2 linked regions of the Lonchura striata genome follow. The protein of the gene in region 1 purifies or fractionates together with the protein of each later gene. This does not show direct contact. Links are inferred from orthologs where the notes say so. Each region holds a gene or a part of one and is shown on either strand. Other genes may lie near its edges.

What was found. Proteins that work in one complex are often made in the same cells at the same time.
Region 2: the proteins of XAB2 (region 1) and AQR fractionate together in Homo sapiens (co-fractionation; 3 studies listed by BioGRID and IntAct, with this or other methods). This does not show direct contact. The link is inferred for Lonchura striata from reciprocal best matches to the Homo sapiens genes XAB2 and AQR.

The regions. Positions count from the first base shown.
Region 1 is NC_134623.1:2,281,130-2,288,977, forward strand, and holds the start of XAB2 (pre-mRNA-splicing factor SYF1), read left to right. Parts: upstream 1-4,833; 5' UTR 4,834-4,838; coding exon 4,839-5,126; intron 5,127-6,654; coding exon 6,655-6,803; intron 6,804-7,680; coding exon 7,681-7,804; intron 7,805-7,848. Other genes in the region: PCP2 (Purkinje cell protein 2 homolog), read left to right, coding at 1-81, 570-575; protein PET100 homolog, mitochondrial, read right to left, coding at 2,904-2,963, 3,137-3,169, 3,970-4,056, 4,589-4,702. UniProt on the Homo sapiens protein: Involved in pre-mRNA splicing as component of the spliceosome. Involved in transcription-coupled repair (TCR), transcription and pre-mRNA splicing.
Region 2 is NC_134608.1:29,474,061-29,481,877, reverse strand, and holds the start of AQR (RNA helicase aquarius), read left to right. Parts: upstream 1-4,811; 5' UTR 4,812-4,868; coding exon 4,869-4,958; intron 4,959-5,852; coding exon 5,853-5,909; intron 5,910-6,192; coding exon 6,193-6,233; intron 6,234-7,215; coding exon 7,216-7,251; intron 7,252-7,817.

The DNA.
Region 1 (7,848 bases):
GCCAGCTCGCAGGGCCGCAGGATGGACGAGCAGCGGCTGCCGGTGCCCCGCCTGCCCGGCTTCGGCTCGGGGGGCACGCAGGTGGGCACCGGGCACCGGGGGTACCGGGGTACCGGGATACCGGGGGGTACAGGGACACCGGGGTATCGGGGGGCTTCGGCTCGGGGGGCACGCAGGTGGGCACCGGGCACCGGGGGCACCGGGGGGTACAGGGATACTGGGGGGCTTGAGCTCGGGGGGCACGCAGGTGGGCACCGGTAAGGTACCGGGGGTTACTGGGGGGCACCGGGCGGGTACCGGGGGGGCTTCGTCTCGAGGGGGGCATTGGGCACCGGGGGTACCGGGGGGCACCGGGAGGGCACTGGGGGGGTTTCGGCTCGGGGCGGGGGGCACGCAGGTGGGCTTTGGTCAGGGGGGGCACAGGGTGGGCACGGGGGTGGGCACCGGGTGCTCTGTGAGACCCCCCAGGAGTTTGGGGAGGGGGCTCAGGGGGGCACCCAGGGTGGGCACCGGGGGCACCCCCAGGGCTGGGAGCACCCCGCGAGTGCCCCTCCCCCCTCTGCCCGCAGGACTGAAAGTCCCGGGACCACCCTGGACCCCCTGGCACCCCCCCAGGACCCCCTGGCACCCCCAAATACACCCCAGACCCCCTGGCACCCCCCCAGGACCCCCAAATACCCCCCGGGATCCCCTGGCACCCCCCCAGGACTCCCCCCAGGACCCCCTGGCACCCCCAAATACACCCCAGGACCCCCTGGCACCTCCAAATACCCCCCAGGACCCCCTGGCACTCCCAAATACCCCCTGGGACCCCCAAATACCCCCCGGGATCCCCTGGCACCCCCCCAGGCCCCCTTGGCACCCCCTCGGGACCCCCAAATACCCCCCGGACCCCCAAATACCCCCCGGACCCCCTGGCACCCTCCTGGACCCCCTGGCACCCCCAAATACCCCCCGGACCCCCTGGCACCCTCCTGGACCCCCTGGCACCCCCAAATACCCCCCGGACCCCCTGGCACCCTCCCGGACCCCCCTGGCACCCCGTGCCCGCCCCTCGCCCGCTGTGTCCCCAATAAACCCCGAGCAATGGGCCTGGCACAGCGTGGGGACACGGGGGGACACCGGGGGGGACCTTGGGGACACGGAGGTGGCACCGAGGGTGGCACCAGGCAGGGGGTGACACTGGGGATGGCACCAGGGTGACACTGACACATCTCGGGGTGATACTAAGGGTGGCACCAGGCAGGGGAGGTGACACCAACACCTCTGGGGGTGGCACCGGGCAGGAGGTGACACTGGGGGTGGCACTGACACCTCTGGGGGTGGCACCAAGGGTGGCACTGGGCAGGGGAGGTGGCACTGACACCTCTGGGGGTGGCACTGAGGGTGGCACCAGGCAGGGGGGTGACACCGGGGGTGGCACCGACACCTCTGGGGGTGGCACCAGGGGTGGCACCTCTGGGGACCTTGGGTACACGGGGGTGGCACTGGGCAGGGGGTGACACTGGGGATGGCACCAGGGTGACACTGACACCTCTGGGGGTGGCACTGAGGGTGGCACAGGGCAGGGGGTGACACTGGGGGTGGCACCGACACCTCTGGGGGTGGCATCAGGGGGCACCTGTGGGGACCTTGGGGACATGGGGGTGGCACTGAGGGTGGCACCGGGCGGGGGGGGTGACACGGACATCTCTGGGGGTGGCACTGAGGGTGGCACCGAGAGACGCTGGCAGCACTCAGGTGACATTAAAGGACACTGGACGCCCGTGGGGGTGGCACCAGGGGACACCGAGAGACACAGGGGTGGCACTGAGGGGTGGCACTGAGGGGTGGCAGTGCCCCCCTGGGGACACCCCGGGAACACTTTGGGGACACCCCGGGGACACTTTGGGGACACCCTGGGGACACCCCGGGGACACTTTGGGGACACCCCGGGGACACTTTGGGGACACCTTGGGGACACCCCGTGGGCGGTGCCAGCGCTGTTTATTGGGGTGGGGACAGCTGGGAGTGCCACGTGTCCCCTGGCACGTCACACACGTGTCACACACACGTGTCACGCGTGTCACCGACGGTCACAGTGGTGACACCGGGGCTGTCACTGTCACTGAGGTCACAGCGGTGACACCAGGGCTGTCACTGTCACCAAAGTCACAGCAGTGACACCAGTGCTGTCACCATCACCGAGGTCACAGCGGTGACACCAGGGCTGTCACTGTCACCAACAATCACAGCGGTGACACCGGGGCTGTCACTGTCCCCTCTGTCACCAGCGCGTGCCTGGCACCGGTGTCACCGTGTGCCCACGGTGACAGGGTAGCGCCAGGCGTGTCCCGTGTCACCGCCACGGCGCCGGTGTCACAGCAATGCCACGTCCCTGCTGCCGCCGCCGTGTCCTCGCTGCCACCGCTGTGTCCTTGTTGTCACCGCTGTGTCCTCGGTGTCACCGCCGTGTCCTTGGTGTCACCGCCGTGTCCCTGTTGTCACCGCTGTGTCCTCGTTGTCACCGTGTCCCTGTTGCCACCACCATGTCCCCGCTGCCACCGCCGTGTCCTTGTTGTCACTGCCATGTCCTCACTGTCACCGCCGTGTCCTCGCTGCCACCGTGTCCTCGCTGTCACTGCTGCATCCTGCAGGTGGCCGTGTGTCCTGCAGGTGGCCGTGTCCCTGCTGTCACCGTGTCCCCGTTGTCACCGCCGTGTCCCATGGGTGGCCGTGTGTCCCGTGGGTGGCCATGTGTCCCTGCTGTCACCATGTCCCAGTTGTCACCGCCGTGTCCCATGGGTGGCCGTGTGTCCCGCGGGTGGCCGTGTGTCCCGCAGGTGGCCGTGTGTCCCTGCTGTCACCGTGTCCCCGTTGTCACCGCCGTGTCCCGCGGGTGGCCGTGTGTCCCCTCTGTCCCCTCACGCCTGTGTCCCTCTCCTCTCCTGCAGCCGCTGCTTCAGCTCAGCCATGGCCTGGCGCTGAGGGGACAGGGACAGGGAGGGGACAGGGACAGGGACACTGAGGGGACAGGGACAGGGAGGGGACACTGAGGGGACAGGGACAGGGAGGGGACAGGGACAGGGACACTGAGGGGGACATTGGGGACACTGACAGGGACATTTGGGGACATTTGGGGACGCTGTGCTCTCACCCGTTCCGGCGTGTCCGGCGGGAAAATCTCCCTCTGCAAAGAGAGCGGCTCAGGGGAGGGGACAGCGAGGACAGCGAGGACAGCGTGTGCCCAGGTGTGTCCCCAGCTGTCCCCAGGTGTGTCCCAGCTGTCCCCAGGTGACCCAGGTGTGTCCCAGCTGTCCCCAGGTGTGTCCCAGCTGTCCCCAGGTGACCCAGGTGTGTCCCAGCTGTCCCCAGGTGTGTCCCCAGCTGTCCCCAGGTGACCCAGGTGTGTCCCCAGCTGTCCCCAGGTGTGTCCCAGCTGTCCCCAGGTGACCCAGGTGTGTCCCAGCTGTCCCCAGGTGTGTCCCCAGCTGTCCCCAGGTGACCCAGGTGTGTCCCAGCTGTCCCCAGGTGTGTCCCAGCTGTCCCCAGGTGTGTCCCCAGCTGTCCCCAGGTGACCCAGGTGTGTCCCCAGCTGTCCCCAGGTGTGTCCCAGCTGTCCCCAGGTGACCCAGGTGTGTCCCAGCTGTACCCAGGTGTGTCTCCAGCTGTCCCCAGGTGTGTCCCAGCTGTCCCCAGGTGACCCAGGTGTGTCCCAGCTGTACCCAGGTGTGCCCAGCTGTCCCCAGCTGTCCCCAGGTGACCCAGGTGTGTCCCAGCTGTACCAGGTGTGTCCCCAGCTGTCCCCAGGTGTGTCTCAGCTGTCCCCAGGTGTGTCCCAGCTGTACCCAGGTGTGTCTCAGCTGTCCCCAGGTGTGCCCAGCTGTCCCCAGGTGTGTCCCAGCTGTCCCCAGGTATGTCCCAGGTGTGTCCCAGCTGTCCCCAGGTGTCCCCAGGTGTCCCCAGGTGTCCCCAGGGGTCCGTGCCCACCTTCCTGTCGATCACGTGCCGCTGGAAGAGCTCGGCCTGGTTGGAGACCCAGAACACGGCGACGGGGAAGGACAGGTACACGCACATCTGGGGGAGCACAGCTGGGTCACCCGAGTGTCACCCCTGTGTCACCTGTGTCACCTGTTCCTATTCCCATATTCCTGTTCCCATCCCCATCCCCATCCCCATTCCCATTTTCCCATTCCCATCCCCATTTTCCCATTCCCATCCCCATTTTCCCATTCCCATCCCCATCCCCATTCCCATTTTCCCATCCCCATTCCCATTCCCATTTTCCCATTCCCATTCCCATTTTCCCATCCCCACCCCCATCCCCATTCCCATTTTCCCATCCCCATTCCCATTTTCCCATCCCCATCCCCATTCCCATTTTCCCATCCCCATTCCCATTCCCATTCCCATTCCCATTCCCATTTTCCCATCCCCATCCCCCATTCCCATCCCCATTCCCATTTTCCCATCCCCATCCCCATTTTCCCATTCCCATTCCCATTTTCCCATTCCCATTCCCATTTTCCCATCCCCATTTTCCCATCCCCATCCCCATTTTTCCATCCCCATTCCCGTTTCCCATCCCCATTTTCCCCTCCCCCCTCACCCTCAGGATCTCCAGCTTCACCCCCATGACTCCTCCAGGCCCCCCGCGCTTCCGGCTCCGCCAACCCCGCAGCACCGCTGACACCCATTGGCCACACCTCCAGCACCGCCGCATTCTATTGGCTGACAGCGCCGCTGCGAGGGGCGGACCCAAAGCGAGCCGCACCAATCAGAAGGGAGGGCGGGAAGGAGTGCGGCAGAGCCGCCGGAAGTGAGGGCGGCGCGCCGGAAGTGAGGCGGCGCGCGGGAAGATGGCGGCAGCTGAGGCGGAGATGGCGGCGCGGGAGGAGCCGCCGGGAGAGGCGGCGGGAGAGAGACCGGGAGAGGCACCGGGAGAGAGACCGGGAGAGAGACCGGGAGCGGGGCCCGGCCCGGAGCAGCCGCCGGCAGCGCTGGAGGAAGCGGCAGCGCTGGAGGAAGCGGCAGCGCTGGAGGAAGCGGCAGCCATGGCGGAACCGGCAGCGCGGGAGGAAGCGGGGCCCGCAGCGATGGCGGATCCCGGAGCGGGGCCGGGCCCGGCGCGGCCCGAGTTGTGCTTCGTGAGTGCGGGGCTGTCCCCTGCTGTCCCCTGGTGTCTCCTGCTGTCCCCTGCTGTCCCCTGGTGTCACATGCTGTCCCCTGGTGTCGCCTGCTGTCCCCTGGTGTCCCCTGCTGTGCCCTGCTGTCCCCTGGTGTCGCCTGCTGTCCCCTGGTGTCCCCTGCTGTCCCCTGCTGTCCCCTGGTGTCACATGCTGTCCCCTGGTGTCGCCTGCTGTCCCCTGGTGTCCCCTGCTGTGCCCTGCTGTCCCCTGGTGTCACCTGCTGTCCCCTGGTGTCGCCTGCTGTCCCCTGGTGTCGCCTGCTGTCCCCTGCTGTCCCCTGCTGTCCCCTGGTGTCTCCTGCTGTCCCCTGCTGTCCCCTGCTGTCCCCTGGTGTCAATTGCTGTCCCCTGCTGTCCCCTGCTGTCCCCTGGTGTCCCCTGCTGTCCCCTGGTGTGTCCTGCTGTCCCCTGGTGTCACCTGCTGTCCCCTCCTGTCCCCTGCTGTCATCTCCTGTCTCTTTCTGTCCCCTCCTGTCCCTTTCTGTCCCCTCGTGTCCCCTCAAGTTCCCATCCCTGTCCCCATCTCTGTTCCTGCGCCTTGCTGTCCCTTTTTGTCCCGTTTTGTCCTCTCCAGTTCTCATTCCTGTCCCCATCTCTATCTTTGTCCCCTCCTGTCCCCTCGTGTCCCTTTCTGTCCTCTCCTGTCCCCTCCCGTCACCTCGTGTCCCCTCCTGTCCCTTTCTGTCCCCTCCTGTCCCTTTCTGTCCCCTTCTGTCCCCTCCAGTTCCCATCCCTGTCCCCACATCTGTCCCTGTCCCTGTGTCCCCTCAGGAGGAGCCGGAGCTGTCCTCTGTCCCCTGAGAGTCCCCTCAGTGTCCCCAGTGTCCTCTCAGGAGGAAGAGGAGGAGAAGGAACTCCTCAGGAACCCGTTCTGGGTGTCCCCAGTGTCCCCAGTGTCCCCTCAGGAGGAAGAGGAGGAGGAACTCCTCAGGAACCCGTTCTGGGTGTCCCCAATGTCCCCAGTGTCCCCTCAGGAGGAAGAGGAGGTCCAGCACGAGGAGGAACTCCTCAGGAACCCGTTCTGGGTGTCCCCAGTGTCCCCTCAGGAGGAAGAGGAGGTCCAGCACGAGGAGGAACTCCTCAGGAACCCGTTCTGGGTGTCCCCAATGTCCCCAATGTCCCCTCAGGAGGAAGAGGAGGTCCAGCACGAGGAGGAACTCCTCAGGAACCCGTTCTGGGTGTCCCCAGTGTCCCCAGTGTCCCCTCAGGAGGAAGAGGAGGAGGAGGAACTCCTCAGGAACCCGTTCTGGGTGTCCCCAATGTCCCCTCAGGAGGAAGAGGAGGAGGAGGAACTCCTCAGGAACCCGTTCTGGGTGTCCCCAATGTCCCCAATGTCCCCTCAGGAGGAAGAGGAGGTCCAGCACGAGGAGGAGCTCCTCAGGAACCCGTTCTGGGTGTCCCCAATGTCCCCTCAGGAGGAAGAGGAGGAGGAGGAACTCCTCAGGAACCCGTTCTGGGTGTCCCCAATGTCCCCAATGTCCCCTCAGGAGGAAGAGGAGGTCCAGCACGAGGAGGAGCTCCTCAGGAACCCGTTCTCCGTGCGGGGCTGGCTCCGCTATGCCCAGGCCCGGCAGCGCGGGCCCCGCGCCCGCCTCAACCAGATCTACGAGAGAGCCCTGAGGGAGCTGCCCGGCAGGTACGGGCACCTGGGGGGCACCTGGGGAGAGCTGGGGGGCACCTGAGGGCACCTGGGGGGAGCTGGGGGGCACCTGAGGGCACCTGGGGGGAGCTGGGGGGCACCTGAGGGCACCTGGGGGGAGCTGGGGGGCACCTGGGGGGCACCTGGGGGGAGCTGGGAGGTGCTGGGGGCACCTGAGGGCACCTGGAGGGAGCTGGGGGGCACCTGGGGGGCACCTGAGGGGAGCTGGGGGGGCTGGGGGCACCTGGGGGGCACCTGGGGCATGTGGGGGAGGGCTGGGGGCACCTGGGGGGCACCTGGGGGACACCTGAGGGGAGCTGGGGGGGCACCTGAGGGCACCTGGGGGGCACCTGAGGGCATCTGAGGGGAGCTGGGGGCACCTGGGGTACACCTGAGGGCATCTGGGCGGGGCTGGGGTTACCAGGGGTACACGTCAGGGCACCTGGGGTACACCTGAGGGCATCTGGGGTGCTTGGGGGTGGGGCTAGGTGGCTCAGGTGGCAGGAGCAACATGGGTGACACAGGTGGCACCGGTGCCAGCTGTGCCACCTGTGCCAGCTGTGCCAGCTGTGCCAGCTGTGCCCTCTCCCCAGCTACAAGCTGTGGTACCAGTACCTGTGCCAGGTGTCACAGGGGTGCCGGGTGACCCAGGTGCCAGGTGTGCCAGGTGTGTTAGGAGTGTCAGGGGTGCCAGCTGTGCCAGCTGTGCCAGCTGTGCCCTCTCCCCAGCTACAAGCTGTGGTACCAGTACCTGTGCCAGGTGTCACAGGTGTGTCAGGGGTGTCAGGTGACCCAGGTGCCAGGTGTGCCAGGTGTGTTAGGAGTGTCGGGGGTGGCAGCTGTGCCAGCTGTGCCAGCTGTGCCCTCTCCCCAGCTACAAGCTGTGGTACCAGTACCTGCGGCAGCGGCGGGCACAGGTCAAAGGTCGCTGCCCCTCGGACCCGGCCTTCGAGGAGGCCAACGCCGTCCACGAGAGGGCGCTGGTGTTCATGCACAAGGTGAGAGGGGACACCTGGGACACCTGGGGACACTGGGGACACCT
Region 2 (7,817 bases), on another chromosome or scaffold:
ATGTGTGCTAAATAAATATTTATACACAAATCAGAATGCTACTGATGGCTTCTTTACACTTTAAAATTCTAAATATTTTAAGAAGCATCTGCTACTTAACTGAGGCATCATTTTTGAAAGTACCCATATTTACTGAGTGGAAGTACACATATTTAATGAGATGAACACAGTGACAAAAGTCTTGGACTAGAAGAATGCACATAAATAAAATAGTAAAACCAACGTGACATGATTGAATTAAAGCTGTAATGAACAGACTGAACATTTAGTTTATATGAATATTAACTGCTATGAAGGATGAGCTGTAACCAAAGCAATAACCCCCTGTCATTGTGGGGGGGATTTTTACATGTTAAAGGATTCCTCTAATCTTTTTTGAGAAGATTTTCTAAATTTTATTTACCTGAAAGGAGGTTTAAATCAATATATTTCTTCTATAATTTCAACAGGTAAGAGACACAGAGATTTCAGGTCTTCTTTGCTTAATGTACATATTATTCTATATTTAAATGCTGTTCATCCCCTCATCTTTTTAGAAACTTATTTAATATAACTTAGCAATAAATATTTAAAAATATTGCATATTCATAGTTACTTTTGTCCTTTGGTTAGAAGAAAAGTTGTACATGCAAGTTGGTATATTTACATGATGCATGATGACACTTGAAATTCTCATATGTGGAGATTTCCGTTTCAGAGCTTTTCAGAGGGATGCCTCTTGAAAAATCTCATGTGTATGTGCAAAAGTCAATAAATGAAGATAAAAGCTGATTTTAAAGTGTTGTGTTCCCCTAAGCTTTACAGACTCGATTCACAGAAAGCCTACCCAACATATGGCTTAGTGCCACTCAGGCTGAAATTCATCTGCTTTGAATTAAGGTGTGCAGCGTGCAGTTAGGTACCTCCCCAAAGCTAAGTGTACACATGCAGTATGATGCAATGATATTCCCACACAGCAGTGAGATGCATCCCAGATATTTTGACCTCCATCCTGAGAAGCATAGCTCTATTAAAACCCACCTCAATATTTGTAAGATGTGCACAGAGAAACCACAATTCAGCCATCAAAACTTAGCTGGTTTTGACTTTTCTGCACACAGAACATGGCTGTCAGAACACTCAAGGCTCGCTTTCAAAAAGGGAATATAAAATTCCCTTGGCCTCTGAGTTATGGAACACATGGGCCAAGAAACACTAAAGGTATTCAGTATATGCAGAAAGGAGAAAAAACTGCTGTTGAAATGGGAAGTACACCAGAGTCAATGATTTGGGAAAGAAGAGTCCACCTATCAGGCCCCAGTGTCTCTATCAAGAAGAAGTTGAGGCCAAAAGTCATGTACTGGAGCTTTATGCCTAGCTTGAAACTGTGCAGGTGGACCAGCAGCAAAACAACTCCTGGATGGGAGAGCACGGGGCAGTACAACAATGCTGCTGTCAGTGAGCTGCTTTCCTCTTTAATGAGAGTGGTGTTAGCATGCCCTCAGCTATGAGGGAACAGAGTCTTCACCCTGGAAAGAAGGTTTTTATATCTTCCATTCCATCTTATGTCAGGGGAACAATTGATCTGCTGCTCCCCTGGCCACCTGGATAGGTGAGAGTAGAGTTGTGATAGTAGCCACCCCATCATTCCAGATCAAAGAGCCAGGAATAGTCACTGCTGCTGTACTGCAAGTGACCAGGCTGAGGCACATGCGAATCATCTGTCCCAGCAGAATGCTTCCTTGGAGGAGAACAAGTCAGTTGTCCACCAGACAAGATGCCTGCTCATTATTTTGAAAAAAATTGCTGACTAGAATGGGTAAGATAATGCCCTTTTGCGTGCTGAATACAGTGATGGTATTTTTTACTTGCTTTGGAACAAAACTTTCCCACCAGAGTATAAAAAGGTGCAAGATGGTATCCATACACAGAGTCTACATCTTAGTGCAGAGTTTATGTCTAAGAAGCTGAAGTCTAAATCTTTGTGTGATAGACAAACAGTAAAAAGTGAGACAGTGTTTATATTAGAAGTACGGCCCTGCTGAATCTATGGCACTGCTTAATCTGCTGAATTCACTGGTCATGTCTCACTGATGACCCTATAACAATAACAAAATCAATTAATGTTTGAAATCTTTATCTATGAATTCTCTGGAGTTTTCATTGCTAGGAATTAATATTTTCTGTGACTTCAGAATCTAAAATAATTTACAAGGTAGAAAATACAGAACATAGACCAACCCCTGCTGATTATCACTAGGTACTTCCTGTTCTGGTGGAACTGTGCTCAGAAGAGTATAACTGAACTAAAAGCAATGGCCAGCTTACTGATGACCTTGGCTTACATGGTTTACAAAGAAAAAGAGAAAAGTATATTTTTCCCAATTACAATAATATAGAAAGGGAAGCATCCAAAACAAGGGAGCTAATTAAGCAAGAAAGCAGTATGGAATATAAATTGACCAGGACTGTATGCAGCCTAGAAATGAATAACAGTCTTGAAAACTGCATCAACTCAAATATGTGGCTTTTAAATAATACATGTCTTCATTAATGAATTAACAGGTTTTTGAAAGGAATGTTTGATTTTCTTGACATGTTAAGCCAATGAGTATAGAAAGATGGAGAACTTAATAGAAGGCTGTCGGGATGATGGGGTACAGGGTTTTATTTCTCCTCAGTTACAAAGGAGTTTGGAGTGGAAAGTGTCAGATGTGCCTCTACTCTGGGAGAAACTAAGCATAGGAATTCAAGAGACCAGTCTTACTGGACAGTTGTGAGCTGGGGTGAGATTTGCAGATGGGAACAAAGGTACAACACCGTGTGTCATTATGCTTGGTCTCACCACAATTCTTTAAAGGTTCCTCTGCTCTTGACGATGAAAGCTATGTATTTTTCCAAAGCACTAATTTATACTTTTGCTACTCATTTGTAGTCCTACTGTCCCCAGCACTCTCTAAATAAACAATACCCTCTATAGAGAAAAAAATTAATATATTACTTACAGGGAGGGGATCTTGGTCACTTTATTTGGCATTTTCACTGAGGCATCTAATATTAGTTTCTGATATCAGAAGCTCTTTTAGAGAATGAGAGCACTTGGATTAGCTCTGACTTGCCCTTTGGAAGGACTTCTGTGGCCACACTGACTGTAGTGAGATTGAAGACAACGGACCTCCTCACTGGGACACACAAATGCCAAAAGTTAGGCAAATGTGGATTCCTCCTGCAGGTTTCATAGCTTTGATATCATATAGAAATTTGTGGGTTTTGACACAGGCCTGATGATCCATCATAGCCAGAAGATTTAGGTTAGCCTTGCAAGGCTGTTGTAGAAAATTCACAATTTTTTAAACAAAATCTACAAAATCCAAAATGCATTTGCCTCTCCTAATTGTCCCATCTTAACATCAATCAACTTTTGACTTCCATCTGAAAGCCCATTCAGAAATTTTTCTATTTTCAGCCAATATTTATGGGTAATAAACTTACATTCCTTTGTCCTTTTTTATCACTGTTCTGTAGCTTCAATTTTAATCCTAGTTATTTACAAAATTTGTTACTGGCACTTTTGTAACTTTTAAATTTTACTAGTTTTCATCTTCCTGGATCTTCTAAAGTAAAGGCATGAAGTAGGCATATTTATTTGAATGCGGCCATTGTCTGATCCTGTTCAAGGTACTGTCATTGCTTTTCCCATTCCTATTGTACATTCTAATTCAACTTCAAAAAGAATATTTAGTTTAACCCCTGCTTGAAGAAATGAAATGGAGATCACCTTGATATGAAAACAAAGGAGGTGATATTCAAACAGACTTCAATGGGACCTGCCTGGAAGTTTAAAGTACTCAAGTGGCAGGTGATAGACAATGAGCCCAGAAACAAAGCACAGTAACTTCCCTAGGGAATTTGTTCATTTCCTCCTTAATTAGTTTACCAAATAGAATAAGTTAATTGCAAAGCATTCTAAAGCATTAGCAAACGGTTGACTTCCTTGAGCATGCAATTTCACCCTTGTACCCATGTCTTTGCTGCACACATTTCAAGAGATTCAACAGAGTATTCTGAGTTGGAAGGGACCCCATAAGGATCATCCTGTCCAACTCTGAAGTAAAAGATCTTAATTACGGGCCTGTGAACGGAACAGAGCGCTCACCCACGCTCAGGAGTCAGTGGCAATTCTTTGATATTAAAGAGAGTGTGTTCTTCCAGGTTAGATGGGCAGAAAGCTGCGCTCTAAGTGATACATAAAGCAGGCGTCCCCCTAAGCGTTGGAAGGCCGAGTGTGGCAGCAATTCTGTGTGCTGACAGTCTCCTTATCTGTTCCCGCAGCCTTTCAACACCGACCCCTGAACTCCGGCCGGAGGCACAGAGGGAGCGAGGGAGCTGCGGCGGGGCAGGGAGGAGCGGCGGCGGGGCAGGAGGGAGCGGCGGGGCAGGAGGGAGCGGCGGCGGGGCAGGAAGGAACGGCGGCGGGGCAGGAGGGAACGGCGGCGGGGCAGGAGGGAGCGGCGGGGCAGGAAGGAGCGGCGGCGGGGCAGGAGGGAGCTGCAGCAGCAAGGAGGGAGCGGCGGGGCAGGAGGGAGCGGCGGGGCAGGAAGGAGCGGCGGCGGGGCAGGAGGGAGCTGCAGCAGCAAGGAGGGAGCGGCGGGGCAGGAGGGAGCTGCAGCAGCACGGAGGGAGCGGCGGGGCAGGAAGGAGCTGCAGCGGCACGGCGGGAGCAGCAGATGGCGCGGCCGCTCCCGCCTCCCCGCGGCCGCTCCAGCCCTCCCGGCCCGGAAGCGCTCCCGCCTCCGCGGCTCCCGGCCCGGAGGTCCCTCCCTCGGCCTGGCCCGGGCTGGCAGCGCCGGGGCACCGAGGCCTGTGCCGGCGGCTCCAGCGGCGGCACCATGGCGGCGGCGGCGGCCGCGCCCTCGGCCCCGCCGAAGAAGATCGTGGCGCCCACGGTGTCGCAGATCAACGCGGAGTACGTGACACAGGTAGGGCCAAAGGCGCCTCCGGGCCGCCTCTGCCGCGGCCGGCGCTCAAAGGGACATTCCGGCTGCGACGGCGTCTCGGTGTTAAACAGCCTTTGTGGGCCGGGGTGCTGGGCCGAGGGGCTTGTCTGGTCGCAGTTGACGGGAGATGTGCGCCTGTGTCATGTACGAGAGGGCATTTCCCCCGCGCTTCCGAACGGCGGGATTTACAAAGCAGCGCTACCGAACGCATGGGTGCGATGCACTGTGCATCGCTGTAAGGCGTCTCTTAACGTGTGGAAAGCTGCCGAAAGCTCTCTGTTGGTTAAAGTTCTAAATGGTTTTCTACAAGTCGTCTCTTTTGTTTTCTTTTTTTTTTTTTTTTTTTTCCTTGGAAATCTGGTCTCCTTCTTGTTCCGGAACATAAAGAAGCTTGAATAAAGTTGCATAGGAAGCTCTTGTTATCATCGCTCAGGAGTACTGGTGGAGTGATGGCTGCAGCAAAGAGCCTTAACCTGCTAGGCTTTTAAATAGAACTTCTAGTTACTTGTCAGATTCCTCAAGGAAGCGTACTCACTTGCCATTTGGGATTTGCAGTTCCTGAAAAATCATGGTTTATTTTTGATGGATTTGTTAGAGGTAACTTAGGAATAGAAAATGTTCGTTAGATAGCAGCCTGTGCGTTTGAAATTTTCCCAAAGACTTGCATTTCTTTTGAAAGAGGTTTAGGCATAAAAGCTTTAAATGGTTGATAAGTATTGCTGTTAAAAACATTATTTTGTTACTTGTAGTTAGCATAAACTGAAATTAAGCAAGATACTAGTGAAATAAAGTTCGGGGATGGGATCTGTTGTAGAGATGTTATATCACTGACATGAAAATGTATGTATTTAACCTTTTTTTTTTTTCCTTGTGCAGTTAGCAAATAAATACTGGGCTCCACATGTGAAGAAGACATTGTCTTTTGATGTAAAGGTAATTACTTCTATTGGAATTTTGTTGGGGTCTGTAAAATAATGAGGATCAACCATTCCGTGGTGTGCCAATATTTAGTGTTATATGTTTTCTATGAGACTGCTTGGAAGGTCAACTATTGCTTGAGACACTGTTATTTGTTATGTATTTGTAGTTTATAAATGTAGGTGCTGTTTCCATGTAGCATGCAGTTATTTTGTATGCTGTTCATAATAAAATGTCTTAATGCATTTTGAATCATGTTAGTGGTTATCTAAAATTCTCTTAAATTTTTTTTCCATAGGTCATTGAAGATGTATATACAAAAGAAATTGTCAGGTCAAAGTAAGTACACCAGTTGTTTTCTCTTATTTACCACCATTCCAACATCATGCATGTTGTTGGAGTTTCTAATGTTTGATAGAATACTTTCAAACTCACCTATATATTAAAAGCAGATGAAAATTACTCAAGTGCATTTAAGTAATTACATCATTATGGTATTTCAAAGTATGAATGTAGTAACAAGAGAGTTCCTAAGCCCATAAACCTTAAACATGATGATTTGAGTTAATATTTTTCAGACCTTTTCCCTGGTAATCTGTTGTCTTTTATGTTGGTTTTGTTGTAGTGGTTATAGAAGGTTGATCTCTTCTTTTGTCTCTAAAGAGAAAAAAATGTTGTGGAGTGCACTGCCTTTGGCTTCCTCCTCTGTTCTGGCTGCTGTTACCAGATTCATAAAGGGAAAGTGGTTTCAGTGAATTGTACTGTTAGATGGGGAGCAATGAATCCAAGATACACTGCATTCTGCAGCTCTCTGCAGAAAAGAGGTGTAACTGTAGCTGGAGCTTTTTGGGGAAGAACAAGCTCTGCAGAGAATTCTCTATATTATTCCTGTATGAAAGCAATCTAAGACTTCGTCATATCGAGTCAAAGCAAACTTCCATTGCCAGTCACTAAGAAAAAAATACCATTATGAACAGATTACTTATATAATTGTAGTGTTCAGAAGACACTCTCAGCTGCTAGCAGTTTATATCATCAAGGCTATTAGAAGTGGTGTTTCATATTTAAAAGACCTACATGATTTTTTTTTTTTAAATGCGAATTTGATTGCTCTTTGAACTTTAGCATCTCCAGTGTTACAGCAGTTGCTTCTGCATTCAAGTGGTTGCTATTGCATGGAAATGTCAGGACAGAAATAATTCCTGAGTGTTTCTACATATTTCCTCATATAATGTAATAAAGGAAAGTATAGTCATTTTTCATGTAGCTGTGTGTCGGAGGCTTTCTTTCCTATGTTAATTGATTAATTTTTCCTTTTTAGGTTTGCGATCAGAAAGATAATGCTTCTTGAATTCAGGTAAGCTAAGGGGAAGGAAATTTGGAGTTATATTTTCATAGGAACCTGTAAAGGTGAGAAGGAAAAGCAGGGCAGTAAGACAGTTTGAAGGTACAGTTTGTTCCTACTTTCTAAGGCCTTGAATTGTGTACTGAGGAAAATGAGGAGAGCTTAGTTTAAAGAGGAAATAATTCCATAAATGTAAGTGACATCTCAGAGTGTCTTGTTTTATGATTATCAATGTCTAGTGTAAGAGGAACATGGAGAAAGAGACTGAATGAAATAAGGGAAAAAAACTTGGGACTGTAATTTGGAATGTATCATTAAGCTTTAAATCAGAACTTGCAGAAATTAGAGAAGGTTTTGGATTATATCTCTTGCTGTGAGGTTAAAAATGGATTGTGCTGCAGCATCATCATTAACATTTTCTTCTCTTGAAAAAGAACAGAAGTCTGTTTAAAGAGTAGTTTATTACTGCTTCAGACTTTCCTGGAAGAACTTACAGAGTATGTCTAAAACGATGTAAAATAAAGATTATCAATATGTACTTAAAACTACAATATTTTATGTTCTGCTTGGTTCTTTTA